Linked DNA regions of Lepisosteus oculatus. The main gene of each other region encodes a partner of the protein of the gene in region 2 in a complex. Links are inferred from orthologs where the notes say so. Each region holds a gene or a part of one and is shown on either strand. Other genes may lie near its edges. The genes, in order: tumor necrosis factor receptor superfamily member 16 and ripk2.

Region 1 (7,368 bases), on a different chromosome or scaffold from region 2:
AAAGGAGATATTTTTACCAAAGGGCTATGGGAGTCTGGAACAAGCTACCCAGTCATTATTGAAGCAAATGTCTTGGCTTCTTTCAAGAATCAACTGGATAAGATGGAATCAAACCGCTACCTACTATACAACCAAACTAGTTGAATCACAAGCTCCTCACATGCATTTTTATAGCTTTATATTTCAGTTACATTAAATTAAATTAAAATGTCCCAACCCTATTCAATTTATCATAATACCTCGAAAAGCTATTGCTTGTGTTTCAATATTTGGGTATATATGTCTTGTAGTTATGAGGATAGCCTCTACTATACTGCTGATAAAGCACTGCGATATATAAATTGAAAAAAATGAGTTGTCTCGCATGTGTTAAAATCAAAATCAGGAAAGAAAATGTAGCATGAGCACGTAAGCAGCTTCGTAGGAACCGAATACATTTTGTATTTATTTAACAAAAGACACATTTGACCGTTTAATTTTGGTTAATCCATCCGGATTGAAATTGTTGCGGATTTATCTCGTCTCGAATGGTATTCTAAGACCTTATTAGCCGGAGGGTACTTTCTCTCCCGAAACCATCAGATCCTTACATCTGCTTTATTGGTTGTTTGTTTCGCAGATAATACGCAACACGTCAGAAATGTCTAATGTTCAAACTGAAGACTTAAGGAATGGCACAATCACGCCTGCGATGACACTGATCCTTTAATCTTTACAAAAGGGAGCTACTGTACTTGTTAGTAATCTACAGGAATCTCTCCTGTATCCCCCTGGCTGTCATCTTCTTTCATAAGTGCGAGGCCATCGCGTTCCCCCTTCTTTTATGCGGTGAAGACACCTTACCTTTACTCTGGGGCAACCTAAGCGTTTCATGGGTGTGTGTGTGGAGGTGGGGTAGAAGAATGAATATAAATGACGTTATCGACCCAATTAGACCTACTGTAATATACTGCATCTAATTGGAAAACTGGGTTTGTTCGATTTAGCCAGGACGCCAATATTAACAGGCTTCCGTGAAGTCTAATCTGAAGAATGCAATATTAATTTCTCTCTACCGGCGACCTTTTTAAACAACGCCACCCTCAGCCAAGTGTGTTGCGCTAAAGGTCACAGTGGAAACTGTTTTCGTGACAGATTTACCAAAAATACTGAGCAACGGTTTGGCATATCTGATCCAGTGTGGGCAGGAGATCATATGAGCGTTTCCTCTACGAGAAATGCAAAAAGAGATTATCTGATCCCTAGCACTCACTCTGTGAAAATGGTACGGTATGTCTCTGCAGGCCGAACTGGTTTTGATTGCTTACAGCCTTTTAAAGCCCTGGAACTGGATAATAATATGTTTCCTCACTTTAAAACTTCGACTTCAAATGAGTTACCTGTCTGATGGAAGACTCAAACTCGTTTTCTAGTTGACCTCTGACAAGTGGTGTCAGAACAAACAATTGACTACTGCAGGATAATATATTGTGGTTTACCTTTACGATCAGTTCTGCAACCCTGTAATAAATATACACCTTTATTCGTGTGGGTACAGTCAATGGATAGCATGCGCTATCAGTTTCTTTTAATCTCAGAGAAAACTTAAAACCTCATCACGTCTCAGAGCGTCCTGGGTTGTACAACGCCATTGGGGTTATAATATTGATTACAAAACGAGACAAATGTCTTACAGTTTTTAAGAGTTCACTATAATACAAGCTTGGTTTCCAGCTATCCAGTTTTTCAGCACACTTTTAACGAGGCCACATAATTTTCTGACAACCACTCAACGTGCGACAATATGTATCATCATAAATGATGCCTCTGCAAATGCTCTGATTGCGGAGAAAAGCTGCAAGTTGTCTGAAAAGGCATAAGGCATAACGAGGGTCTCCATGGGAGAGCTGGCGGGTCTGAAGCTGAGCCCCAGCACGGGTTCCGAGCGACGCGCTCAACACGAAGCAGCGTGGCCAGGCAAGCAGGCAGCGCTGTGTATTTGTGGTCTATTCAGGGAGACTAATTGTCTTTGGTAGCAGGCAGCCAACCAGATGATTTCGTTTCTAAGTGGAGGCTTCACTTAAGGTTAGCCCCACACATTAGCGCTGCGCTGTAAAGAGCTGCCCTAAAAGCCGCTGGTTACTTTGCTTACAGTTTAATGCGATTTAAATAATTCAGAGACGTGCATGAGGCAGCTCCGCTCAGAAACAGCGGTGCACAGCTGTACAGTGTATTGCTTCAGACTATACCGCAAAACAATCTTCGTTATTATTTTTAGCATTGTTATCCTCGTACTGGAGATGTACCAATCTAAAACATCCCAACAGATGTTCCCCACTTCAGACAACTGTGCCTCATTCTGCCGCGGTGCGTTGAGGTTTTACCGATTCATCCCGTTTAGAAAAGCATGCCTCGACACAGCGAAAAACGGAAATAACAAACTCGCACGCCCATTTAAACATTTTCTCACCTGTTGTGTGGGAGAGCTGACTCAAAACATTGAGGCACCTGCCTGTCAAATTATTCTGGACATAATTGCGAAACATCACCCCGGGCGGTCTGTCGACCCGCAGGGTGCCTGGTGCGAGAAAGAGCGAGTCTTAGTGACTCCCGAAACAGTGCCTGGCTCTTGACATTGCGCTGTCAGTGCACTGGAGCCCGTATCAAAAACAGCCTCTGTCACTGGGCAGGCAGGCACCTCCTGCCGCGGCGCACAGCACACTGGCCCAGTACCTTCGCTAACTAAAGAGGCTCTGCCACTTCCCTGGCGAGCCAACAACCGCTCAGAAACTGCAAGGAAGAAGCAAACGCGCACTCACCGCTCCCAGAAGAACTACCAACATCGCGCTACCCATGATCTTCCCCGGCACGGCTTCAACGGCGGACTTGGTTCTTATTAGCAATAAAATATCAGTATCCTTTTACGAAAAAAAAAAGTTTATTATGAATATATTCGCTGGAATGTGTTCTTTATCGTCCTCCTCTCCCCGGCTTGTCGGTCGATAGCAGTCCTCGGTGATTCCCTTCACATCCCAAGTGCCGGACCTTTGGGAATCTAGCGACAGGCTGGCAGGTAGGAGAGGAGACTCTGCGCGTTTGGGCTGAGACGTGGCCGAGCTCTTGCTTTCATAGCGGCGAGCCGCCTCTCACGGGTTGTGCTTGGGACCAATGCGAGTCACTCCCCCTTTCGCTTGATCTGACAGCACACAAGCAGTTGTCTCCCCTTCTGTTTCGTTCAGTTCCGAGAGCGAGCATCCTACACAGCCGCAGGAAAGAGCCCGGTAATGGATTGGTTAATAATACAATCAAGAATATGCTGGAGTATGACACTTTCTCCGTACAAAAGTAATTGTCTTTTCTGTTTTTGCTTAGTTGTTTTTTTTTAATTGCATTTTTGACGGTCTGTCTCATCTGAGCCGTATGTCAGCTAAGTCTAATTTAAAATATCACTCAGATATAAACTGTTCCAACACCCATGTAATTATGAAGCACACCGAGAATCAGTTTGAAGTCATTGGTTTACAAAATGCACGTAAGTAACGACTACAATGTAATGTTCAGGTACATTCAGAAGTGCACCTTACCGCGAAGAGGTATTTACATCAGAGCGAGAGAGCACGTTGTGTAACCATAAAGCGGATCACAAGGGGGCGACAAACCATGCAAAACACTCGTGCGATTCAGAGGTGGATCTTTGCTGTCATTGCAGTCCAGTTGTTTCAACGCAATTTACGTAAAAGCCGGCAAGATCAGAAAGAACCATGATAAAAAACAGTGCAGCAAAGAAGTGTTTGTTATTCTAAAAAAGCCCCCTTCTCATTTCCACTTCTGATTATGTCCCAAAACTGTCTATAATTCTTCCCTGGTACTCCTGTGGATTTTATATAATTTATACAGTACTGTATATGTATATATTCACTCCCTTCCCATTTTGTTATAAATTTATATATTTATTGACTTCGTCCATAGTATCTTACTTTTGAACTGATTTATCCAGCTTGGAGTGGTCAGCACTGCTGCCCCACTGCACTGGAACTGTAGGTTCAATCTGAGGGGTGCTGTCTTTGTGCAGGTTGTTAGCCCTGTGTTTCTAGGGGTTTCCTACAGCTGCTCCGGTTTCCTCCCACAGTCCAAAGACATACTGGCAGGTTAACTGGCGTCCGTGTGTGCGTGTGTGTAGCTGTGTCACAATACAGGACCCTGTACTTCAGGTTGAGCACCTTGCTCAAGGGACAATTGCAGTGTCTCACCTGGGATGTGAGCGCACAACCTTCTCGTTACAAGCCCAGATCCCTAACCACACCTCTACCACTTGTTGAGCTCCTAAATAATGTTTTGTTCTGAATAACCTCGTTTTACATTCACCTTGAGCCTCATTGTAAAGAAAAGCGCTTTGTTCAGCACCTCTATTGAAACTCTGCCTGTCACCACTACTTACAAACACAGGTTGATGCAACTTGTCAATCAAATTGCTCAACGCAGAGCTACTAGTTTCAGTTTTTGTTGCCTAGAAAACACTTGCGAGACTTTGGCCTCACTGCAAGCGGGCATCAGTTGAGAGGAAAATGCAGGAGAGCAGGAGTATTTAATCTGGGCACCTGGATTCAATTCCCTCTAGCCACTCGCCATTCTGTATTACTCAGGTTAAGAGCACAAGCTGTGAGAGATGACATTACGTTGCTTTGTACCCTGCAGTAATTTAAACACTGAATTTATCCTTCATTAACCCAGATCAGAGCAGGTCAATTTGATTGTTTAAGATTAGCAAGGGCAAAGACTTGCAGTGACAGGGAATCAAGGTTCCCCAAACCTTGTCCTGGGGGACTGCTGTTTCCACTGTCTTTCAGTCCAGCTTGGATGTCCGCAGACAGAATGAGCTCTTTATTGGATTAATATGACCAATAATGAGCTTGTCCCATCTCTTCAGGATTCTGGTGCTTTAAAGAGAAATGAATAACCTCCAGACCCCTGGCTTGAGGAATGCAGCCCATGTTCAATTTCAGCAGCTAACAGCTGAAAAAGGATAAGGGGCCACAAGTGAAAATGTACATGACTGGAAATGGAAGCACTTACTGATGGGAACATCAGGAATCCTGTGATGGTTAGACTTGACTAAAATCTGTATTATAGATGCTTCCAAGGAATGTCAGACATTTTTATTAGTACCAGTCTAGTATCTAATTACCTTCATATGAAATACATGGAAAAGATTCATAGATGAATAGTCCTATGTATCTGCAGAGCTCAATAAAGGACAATGAGTGATATCAAAATAAGTATGCAAAAGATTTTGGCTGCAGCCAATCAGAAACAAAGAGCAGAAGCACACACCCCCTACTGTTCTCCAGCCACACTGCAGAGATACAGGTACACCCCCTCATTTGAAAAGACATGACAAAGCTCCTTTAGCTTTGAGGAAGTCAACCTGAGATCTTTTTCACAAGAGCTCTGATTACAGGGGCCGGCGACCGTGTGTTCTAAAATGTTATTCCATTGATTCCTGCCTGGGTCGATGAGCCCACATCCTACAGCTGCTGAAGGCCTTAATTGATGAGGGTCTTTTAGAGGTCATTAGAGGTCATCTATTCATTTAAGCTTTTTGTGTGAGTCTGAATATCAGGAATGTTTTTACCCTTACATGTGCACATGCACACATGAAATTTTGTATGTTAGGCTGTGTCTACATTCACACAGAAAGGTATGTAATCCGCATGTACACAATTAAGCACAAAGACACATTATCCCACAAAAGAATGCCTCTCTTCTCAGACACAAGAATGAAACTTGTAACATGCAGGTCTCCAAAGGTCACCACAGTGAATACCCTCTACACATAAACTTCGACAGACATTGGATAAGCGCTCTGGGACTAAGACCTCCTTACATGGGTCACTATATACTGTATAAGTTACTGTAACTCAGGTTGTGGTGTAAACTGGGCATCAGATTGCAGATGGCAGTGGTGAGTTTTTGTTTCTTTTTTGGCATGTTGCCTTTTACGTTTACACAATACTGTATCCCAGAGCACAGTTTTGAGTCATTTAAAAATTGGTGTTTTGCTCAAGAATTGCATTCAGTACTGAGAGCAGCAGGTGAGAATTTTAATGTCTAAATGAGAGCCAGCCATGATTGAAAACTGATGTTACCAAGTAAAGATAACAGAAACCCAGAGCCTATCCTGTAAGACCAGAAGCACCAGTCCATCACAGGACAGACACAGATCATACAGAGAAAGTGATTCACTCAGCCAGCCTGTCTTTGGAAGCCAGGCTAAATTGGAGCTTTTGATGAAAACCCATTCAGACTCCAGATAGAAGGAGTCCATTCCAGAACCCAGTCTGTGTCTCAAGAGTTGTGAGGCAGAAGTACAAGCCAGCATGCCAGTACAACACCTAGAAAAGTAAAATTCATCATTCATTTTAACCCTTCACCTCCAGAACGCAATACTTTGCAAATGCAACACAGGGTATGAATCAATAAAGAAACCCTTAGTAATTATTAACATATTTGATGGGGTTCCCATAAAAAATACTAAAAAAGACACCTGTTTTGCAAATTGGCCGTACTTGTCCCATTATTTCAAAGTGTTGTTTCAGCATGATATACCATAGTATCCCTTTGCCACAGTAGTAAAAAAAAACTTAAATATTTGCTTTTGCACAGAAAATGTCCCTCTTGTTGTGTGTATCTTACACCTTAGAACAGTGAAAGTTTTCTGTTCTAAATGCAAAGAACAAAAGCAGTTTGCTTAGCATTTACAGTGTACTGGCTTGGAGTGGTATGGAGTAACTAAATTAGATCTTTGAATTCAAACAGCAATAATACAACATGACTAATGATGATCATTAGTTTGATCTGAGTAATTATTTGCTTTAAATTAACCAATGCTCAGCTCCAGTGTTTTCCACATATAATTTTCAATTCCATGCCGATGTGCTGTCAGATCAATGATAAAGCAATCTGTAATGATCTAGCCCTGACGACACAGAGGTACTGCTGCACTCGGTATATTAAGGATTAACAGTAGTAATAATGAGAAATGACTGGTGTCCAAATGCCAGCAAGTACAGTATGGTTTCCCACCTACTGCACAAATTTATACTTTACCTCAAAGAGATCAATGTTAATGGAATCTAACTCTCTGAGATGACGAGCCTCTGATGACAAAAATCCCGGGCTTGCACATTCCTAACTGTAGCTGAGCACATACAGTACCTGTCATATTGATTGACTGCCTCTCCTGCTGCATTAGACAAACTGGCATTTTCAGAAGTTACATTGAACCTAATCACATTAATTCACTATGACCTATCACAGGAAAACTGGGAAGATTCCTGCTGCAAAACAGTTGGATCAGTTTAAGGTTTTACCAGGTATGGGACAAATTGG
Region 2 (7,807 bases):
GAAAGCAAAATGAGTACGGTGGAGAGATACTCTCCAATGGGGACAGTGACAGACTGAGGAAGATTGCTAAAGGTACTGTCTATTCCACTTATCTTAAATTCGAAATCCAAAGTAGCACTGACCTGGCTTCATAAAATGCAAATAACCTGCTGACAATTACTGATAACATAAATTAATGAATATATAATGCTGCTTGAAAGTTTGTGAACCCCTAGTGCAACTTTTTAAATGTTACATTTTTACTATGAAATCCTCATTTAATCAAAACTAGTCCTTACTTGATGCATGTAATAGAAAAAAAAATAGGTAGATACGAATTACTGCATGTGCAAAAGTAAGCGGAGGTTCATTAGCTCAGTTATCAAGGTAAGAATAATAAATAATTAGGTACCAATTTAAACAATCAAAAAGTCAATCACCAGGACAAAGTTTGGGAGGCCTTCTATTATACAAAAGTAAGAAACCTATTAAATTTGGTCTTACCCATACTCACTACCCATGAGGTCTCTTTAGATCATGGTATTTTGTATTATACTAAACTTAGTGAAATACACCATGACATGATCTAAAGAGACCTCATACGACTTCAGTAAGAGTTTTGTTAGAGCTCAATAGTCTCAAGAGGGTTATAAAACCATAGCAATTTCATCAGTCAACTGTAAGACTAATAATCTACAAATGGAGGACATTTAAAACCATGGTGACTCCACCTAGATGTAAACACTACCTAGATGTGAACGTTCTTTAAACTGACCACACAGAGTAACAAGACATACATCATACATCATACAGGAAAAGCACCCCAGGAACACATCCAAGGATCTCCAGACCTCTCCTGCTGCGGATGATGTCCATGTTCATTCCTCAACAATACAACATGAGCTGAATAGCAATGGCATTCATCGGAAGGAAGCCAACAGAAAACCTCTGCTCTCAAAAAAAGAACATAGCTGTGTGTCTTTGAAAAGACCGTCTGAATGACCCTGTAGATTTTTCAAAGAATGGTCTCTAGATGGATGAGTCTAAAATTAATCTTTTCGGCTGCAACAAAAAATGCTTTGTTTAGCAAAGACTTACCACCAAAAAAACCTTATCCGTGCTGGTAGGAGTGTCATGGTTTTAGGCTGCTTTTCTGCCCATGAACCAGGATGGCCCACGATCACTAAAGGAACTATGAAGTCAGTCATACCAAAATATTGATAATATGATATGAGTTGAAGTTGAGCTGAAAAAAGGGTCCAATGACATGACAATAACCCTAACATTTCAGGAAATCTACCAAAGAATACATTAAGAAGACCTTTTGTTTTGAAATGGCGGAGTCAGATGCAGATGTAACAGATGCATTAGTAACTATAGGAAACATTTGGTGACTGTCATAGCTGTTAAAGGCTGTTAAAGGATGTGCCACTGCTTATTGAATTAATTTTGCACACAGGAATCACTTAGTTTCTGTTAAATAAACATTTAATAGATAATGAAACGATATATATATGTGTGTCCATTATTTTGGGTATTGTCATTAAATATTGGAGTTCAGATATAACATTTTAAAGATAATTTGGGTAAAACGTATGAAAGTTGAAGGGTTCACATACTTTCAAGCAGCACTGTATTTCAAAGAACTATTAATGCTACTTTAGAATATGTCTTTCTTTAATACTGTTACTATTCACAGAATGAATTGTAAATGAAAGTTTAAATGGATTAAACCAATTTTCGCTGCCTAAACGGGCAACTAACTCTGATGACTATCAGACAACAGTAGAACTTTGTCGATCGAACTGACAGCCAACAACTGGACGCACGTGCGCAGCGTGACTGGTCTGCTAGTCACTGTCTTTAAACTGAAGACAAACGTTTTCTCGCTTTTACACCAATCTTATCCTAGACCACGGACCTCCGAGCATCCTGCACCAGTAGTGTTTTCCTCCTTTTTGAGAAATCAGATCTGAACTCACTGCCTGCTAGATAACTGGAGGTCTAGATGGGCTAGAAACGTTATTCACCACATACTGTAGCCTCCAAACATTTAGAGAATTTTTACACGAATTACTGTGTTTCCGTATCAATAAAAAATATGTGAAATATTACAAAAAATCTCAAGAAGCAGTGACTGTCAAATAGGTACAACTATTGACAAGAAAGACATAAGAAACACGAATCAACTTCGCAAGAAAAAAAATGTTTTAAGTCGACAGTGGCGAAAACATACTGGTCAAATTAAGGCCACTTCAAAAGCCATACCGTCGAAACCATCTCAATAGCCTAATATAGCATTTGTTTTTCTGCTTACATAGTTCGTGTTGTTTTCCCCAAGCTCACGACTCGGTTAACCCACCTTTCTCCAACCGGGGAGTCCAGCTGGAGGCACTTGATGGCCACGGTGGTTCTCCAGTCAGAGTGCTGGGCTCTAAACACGGTGCCGAAGCCGCCTCGGCTCAAGTAATGCAAGTCCGTCAGTTTCTGATAGGGGATGACCGGCAAAGTGCTGGTCAGGCTGCAAATATTAACGCAGCCCGAATGCTCCATGGTAGTAATAATAATATTTAAATGCAAAGGCCTCAAAAAAGGGAGGGCAATCCAGTAAGGAGAAGCGGAATTGAAAACTACAGTACAAAGCCGAGTATGAAATCGTAACCTCAGACAAAAATACTAATACGTTTTAGTTATAGTAAACTACCAAGAAAAAATCAGTCCAACTCCACTAATTAATACAGTGATGAATAAAAACCAAATTAAAATAAGCAGACGTCGCAGAAACAGAATATTTTCCCCATTTCCGCCAGGTCTTCTTATTACCGTCAAGGCAATCAGGTGTGAGGTGCAAATCCCGAAGTGGTCGTATCTTCAGCGGAAAAAGTAATGAAATCGGCAGACATGGTCGGGGGGTTGTGGTGTTTTATATTTATTTTACCCCTATGTTTTCTGCGGCGAACGATGTTAACCGATTTATTGCGTTTTTGCGCCTTCGCGATGTGTATTTCTAAACCACACACACCGCGTCATACAAAATATGCCTCCCAGCTGCTTGGACGAATGTATTATACAGCTTAAGGCTGCATAGTTGTCCTACAGGTTATTTCCTAAGCAAGTATCTTCCGGGTTTGACAATGTAAAAATTACCGTACAATCGAGAAACCATCACGCAATACCTTGCGTCGATATATTCAGATTCTCGACTTATGCCCACTGAAAAGCAGAATTTTATCTCATTTTACCGAGTTTCAGCACATGCCATGAAACGCACTGTTGCTATTTCGGCAAAAAGGATAAACAGCACTAAAGAGGGTTTTGGTTTGCAGGCGCTATATCATCATAACCGACTTTCCTGACACGACAGTTTCAACGCTTGATTTTATATGGTGCGTGTCTTCTCCTCTCATCTTGTTTCCAGTATGTGTCATGTGAGAAGAGTTAATTTATATGCTCATTTTTACAATATCGAAGTGGTTTCATTACAGCGAGACTGTCATCCCACTTAGGTCAAACTCGTACAGTAGTTTCCAAATCTCACGAACAGCCGTACAGTACATTTTGTCACTTAGAAGAGACGGCACTAGATTATTTTATTCTATAAGGGTTTTATAACTAGACCGTTAATTTACAATCGGCACATTTTATTCAGCATAATTTTACATCCTTCACATGAAGCAGACCGCCAGCACATTACAGCACCCGCTCATTTGCAGGATCTCACGGCAGCCCTGTCTTGTGACCGAGAGTTCAGACAGCTTGTTCCGGTGTTACGATGCCAGCGTGTTGTGATGCAAAACAGCTCTTAGAGCTGGGTAATAGGATACAGTGGTTTTTGGTGTAGGCCTGCTTTATTACGTACAGTATATTGATGGAACTTAAAAAAATAATTATTTAAGTGCCTTTTTTATAAAATCGTTTTCTTGAACTGCAGATATACAAACCCTGAGGTTGTAAAACGGGAGATGGAACTTGTTTTTTTTTTCTTTAAACGGGCTGACATATTGCACAACATTACGTATGATATTTGGGAAATTCCAACTTTCGACTTTACTGACGTTAGAGTGTATAATTAGTATATTTAAATGCTGCCACGAGAGGGATTTCCATTCACTAGATCGTCTGCGTGTGTGATTTATACATATACCCCGAGCACACATTTATCGTACACCCATTGCACTATCCGTTCTGAATATGTTTATGCCATACACTGTATGGTTAAATTTGGATATGATAGAATCACCGAAACAACGCTCGAACATCGCTAATACATTTTTAATTTTATGAAATGGTCCTTGTAGACTAGTTCAGTTTTTTTTTCTGAATAGGTGCTTGATTTAATAAATACTCATGGCACAGAAGATAAAATGTTCTACAGCGCTCGGGTCCTAGGTTGACTTGCAAGTTGCAGACCTGGGGTACTATCTGCGTGGAGTTTGTATATTCTCCCTGTGCACGCATGGCTTTGAGTCTGTGTATGTCCTGCCTTTCACCTGTTGCGTGCAGTATATGCAAATGATACAAATGGTAAGAAAAACATTAGAAACAAGACCACAATTTATTTAGCTGCTAGAAGCTATTTAACCCAAATCACATCCAGTCTATTCTTGAAAAATGTCAGGGGCTTTAACAGCGTGGAACATACTTGTTCAAACTTCCACAAGGTACAGATTTCTACAAGGAGTGATCCTCATTCCTGGTTCTAGGAAATATCAGACCACCAGGATTTATACAGTGGATTACATGATTTTTCAATTTAATTCAAAGAGTGGATTTCAAAGGAATGACAGAAATTGCTAAAGCAATATGAATGGACAATTTCTTTTTGAACACAAACATTACAAATGTTAGAAAACTATAACAATGCAAACCACAGTATGGGGTTGAGGGGTGGAATGAAAAATAAATAAGCTAAAATGTGAATCATAATCCTCAATGAATAAAGACATGGTAACAGTAGAAGTATATATATTGATTGTATAGCCCAATTAAGTGGGGAGTTTATTACAATCAAATCACTAAGAGTTCAGGGAGAACCAAATACCAGAAGGCATGGCAGAAGTTACCAGTGTTGTATACTTTGATCCCGAAGTGTTTCTTTGGTGAGGTGTGACCGATGCCAACACCGGTGTGTCTTCCGAGGAGTCCAGGTCCAGACAGAAATTGGTTCTCTCCGTTCCTGGGCTTTATGACTGTTGGCCTGATAAAGCCTCTCATGCTGGGGTTCCCAATCCTGGTCCTGGGGGGCTGGTTTTCTAGAGGTCTTCAGTTCAGTTGTGCTTGGAATGACCTGAATCAGCTTATTAGTGGCTTAATTGGACCGTTATAACAGCTACTCCCAGAACTCCAGGTGCTGCTGCTTTAAGACCTAATAAACCCATAGAGACATTCTCCCTTCAGGACCAGGACTGGCAACCCCTTGCTCTCCTTGGTTTTGCCTTTTTGTCAATCACAATCTTTGTTTTTTCACTTTTTTTCCCCCCATTTTTATTAAGTGGGGAGGAGGCTGCACAGTGGCACAGTGGTTAACATCGCTGCACTGGGGGCCCTAAATTCAATTCCAGATCTAAGCTGCTATCTGTGTGGAGTTTGTATGATCTCTCTGTGATTGTGTGGGCTTCCTCCGTGTGCTCTGTTTCTGTTACCTCCCACAGTACAACACATACTAATAAGTTAATTGGTTTCTGGGAAAAATTGGCCCTGGTCCACATGTGTATTTGTCTGTGTTTGTGTCTTTGTGCAACCATTGCTTGCTGGGATAGGTTTTGGCTCCCCCATGACCCTGAAATGGATGAAGAAAATGGATGGATAGATAGAAAAAGTTAATAAAAAATAAAATGTTTGTTGTGGGTACAGCAAGGTTGGTTTTGTTCTGTTGGTTTTGTCACTTCTGTTTTCTGTTTAAAATGATACTGTATTATTTGAATGATGGGACCCACTAGGGACAATTCCTCACTGAATTGAATTTTAAATATATGTAATACTGTATGTAATTTTCTGTAGAAACTATAAAGGTTACATTCTTTAAACTGGAAATTCCTTATACAATGGAGCCTTCAGATGAGAGGAACAGAGAAGCTGGACTCTGTTCAATGGCCCCACCCTGTGGTAGGCTTTGTATTATACACTAAAATATATAAATATATGTTATAGTTCCACTTGTGTGCGTGACAAATTTCGTTGCTCCCACAGTGTTCTTTTATCAGTTCTTTAGATGGGTCAACAACATTCATAATAGTTCTTCACACAGCAAACTATGGTGATATTATGTTGATAGGTTCTGTGTAGGTGTTTCCCGAAAGCTTTAAACTGAATTTGAATAGCGTTGAATGCTGGTTTCTTTTCTAAATCTTAATTTTTTCAAAATTTATGAATAATTTCAATGACAAGAAAGCTAAAACTGTGAGGTGCTTTTTCACTCCTGTGAGGAAGCTAAGGGATTTCATTATTTTTCACAGAGTTACAGAGGTTTATACTGAGGTTACCAATACGATTGCAGCTACATGAAACAGACTGTCAGGAAAGAGAGTAGACGCCACATTTCATTTAATCAGCCTGTATCAGATCTATTTATGTTTTGTAACAGTTTTGTTACAGTGGCAGTACATGAGTGTTAGTAATTAAATATTAGGAAAAATAAGGAAGAACATTGCATGGAATGTAACAAGATTCATTTTTTCTTTAGTAATTTATGTTGCTACCCTTGAAAAAATCATTTTTCATTTTTACTATTTATATGTTTAAACTAGTTTGCTCTGAGCTGTATTTTTCTTTTCCAGGGCACAGCACAAACACTTGTTGGCTGAATTTTTCTGAGGTGGCTCACTGTACATATGTACAACATCCCTCTACCAGAGCTTTGCTGTACTCACCAGAATACCAAGAGGCTGATGTTCGGGTCTTTGTTTGTTTAAAGAAACACATTTACAATGGTTGCAGTTACATTTTGTTTTCAAAACACTATTTTTGTAATCAGTCCACTTTGTTCTTTTTCTTGTACATTTGCTTTATTTTGTCCAGAATGATTGTCCAATAGTTATGAAACATTCTAATAGAATTAGTTTAAGCCACATTAACTGCTTCATCATCACTTGAAGCTTAATTGCACTATCTGTAACTGCATCATGCTAATATAATCAGAAACAAAGCCTTTAAAAGCACTACAGACTGCCTGTTAATGCAAAAATAACAAGGCTCCTTTCTGTAGCCTTCTGAACCAGAGTATGGAATAAAGGTTTGTACTATTTTTGAAAAACTGATTAATTTAAACATGAAATTATAATGAAACTTCTTTTACCTTAAAGTTTCCTTTGGCTAATAACCCATCCATTTGCCCAAGCCTTTTGCCTTGTGTTTCAAGGTCATCCCCTAGGTCAGAGCAACATTCTTGAGAATTTCATTGAACAGAGCACTTTTCAACAAGATACAGAAGTGTATTCAGAAGTATACTGACTGTGGTTTCTCAAGGTGCGAATAGCACTTGAAGCTTTCTTGGGAAAGTATCATTTTCAATTGAATATTTCTGTACTGCTTCTGCTTTGATCTTAACTGAATTACAGTACATCTGGTACTACTGCAATCACTATCGACAATAACAATAATAACAACAATAACTCTCCATAAAACTATTATAGAATAGATTAGCAGCTAGCCAGATATAGAAAGTCTGATTTTAAAAGGGGAATCTTGAGCATGAACTTGAGTCTCTCACATTCTCATCCCTCAGCGGCCCAGGAAGGATAAAAGGTTGCACTCTGTATCTGTGATTTTGTGCACTGAAGCGGAACACAAAGCCCAGAGGGAAAAGCTGTGCATCTTCTTATCTTGGCAA

What was found.
Region 1: the proteins of ripk2 (region 2) and tumor necrosis factor receptor superfamily member 16 are in contact, whole or in part, in an NMR structure (PDB 2N83), measured with the Homo sapiens proteins. The link is inferred for Lepisosteus oculatus from reciprocal best matches to the Homo sapiens genes RIPK2 and NGFR. Residues at the interface, in NP_003812.1 of Homo sapiens: Gln437, Ser465, Arg466, Asp467, Leu468, Met470, Glu472, Asp495, Ile496, Gln497, Gly498, Glu499, Glu500, Lys503, Ile523, Leu524, Val526, Ser527, Arg528, Ser529, Pro530, Ser531, Leu532, Asn533, Leu534, Gln536; in NP_002498.1 of Homo sapiens: Gly334, Leu335, Ser338, Leu339, Pro340, Lys343, Val347, Ser354, Ala355, Asp357, Arg360, His361, Gly364, Glu365, Tyr368, Pro370, Ile373, Asp374, Leu398, Asp399, Leu401, Leu402, Arg406, Arg407, Ile408, Gln409, Arg410, Ala411, Asp412, Val414.

Annotation. Positions count from the first base shown.
Region 1 is NC_090723.1:1,253,487-1,260,854, reverse strand, and holds the start of tumor necrosis factor receptor superfamily member 16, read right to left. Parts: upstream 3,140-7,368; 5' UTR 2,835-3,139; coding exon 2,799-2,834; intron 1-2,798. UniProt on the Homo sapiens protein: Low affinity receptor which can bind to NGF, BDNF, NTF3, and NTF4. Forms a heterodimeric receptor with SORCS2 that binds the precursor forms of NGF, BDNF and NTF3 with high affinity, and has much lower affinity for mature NGF and BDNF.
Region 2 is NC_090701.1:25,469,281-25,477,087, forward strand, and holds the start of ripk2 (receptor-interacting serine/threonine-protein kinase 2), read right to left. Parts: upstream 3,168-7,807; 5' UTR 2,533-3,167; coding exon 2,342-2,532; intron 1-2,341.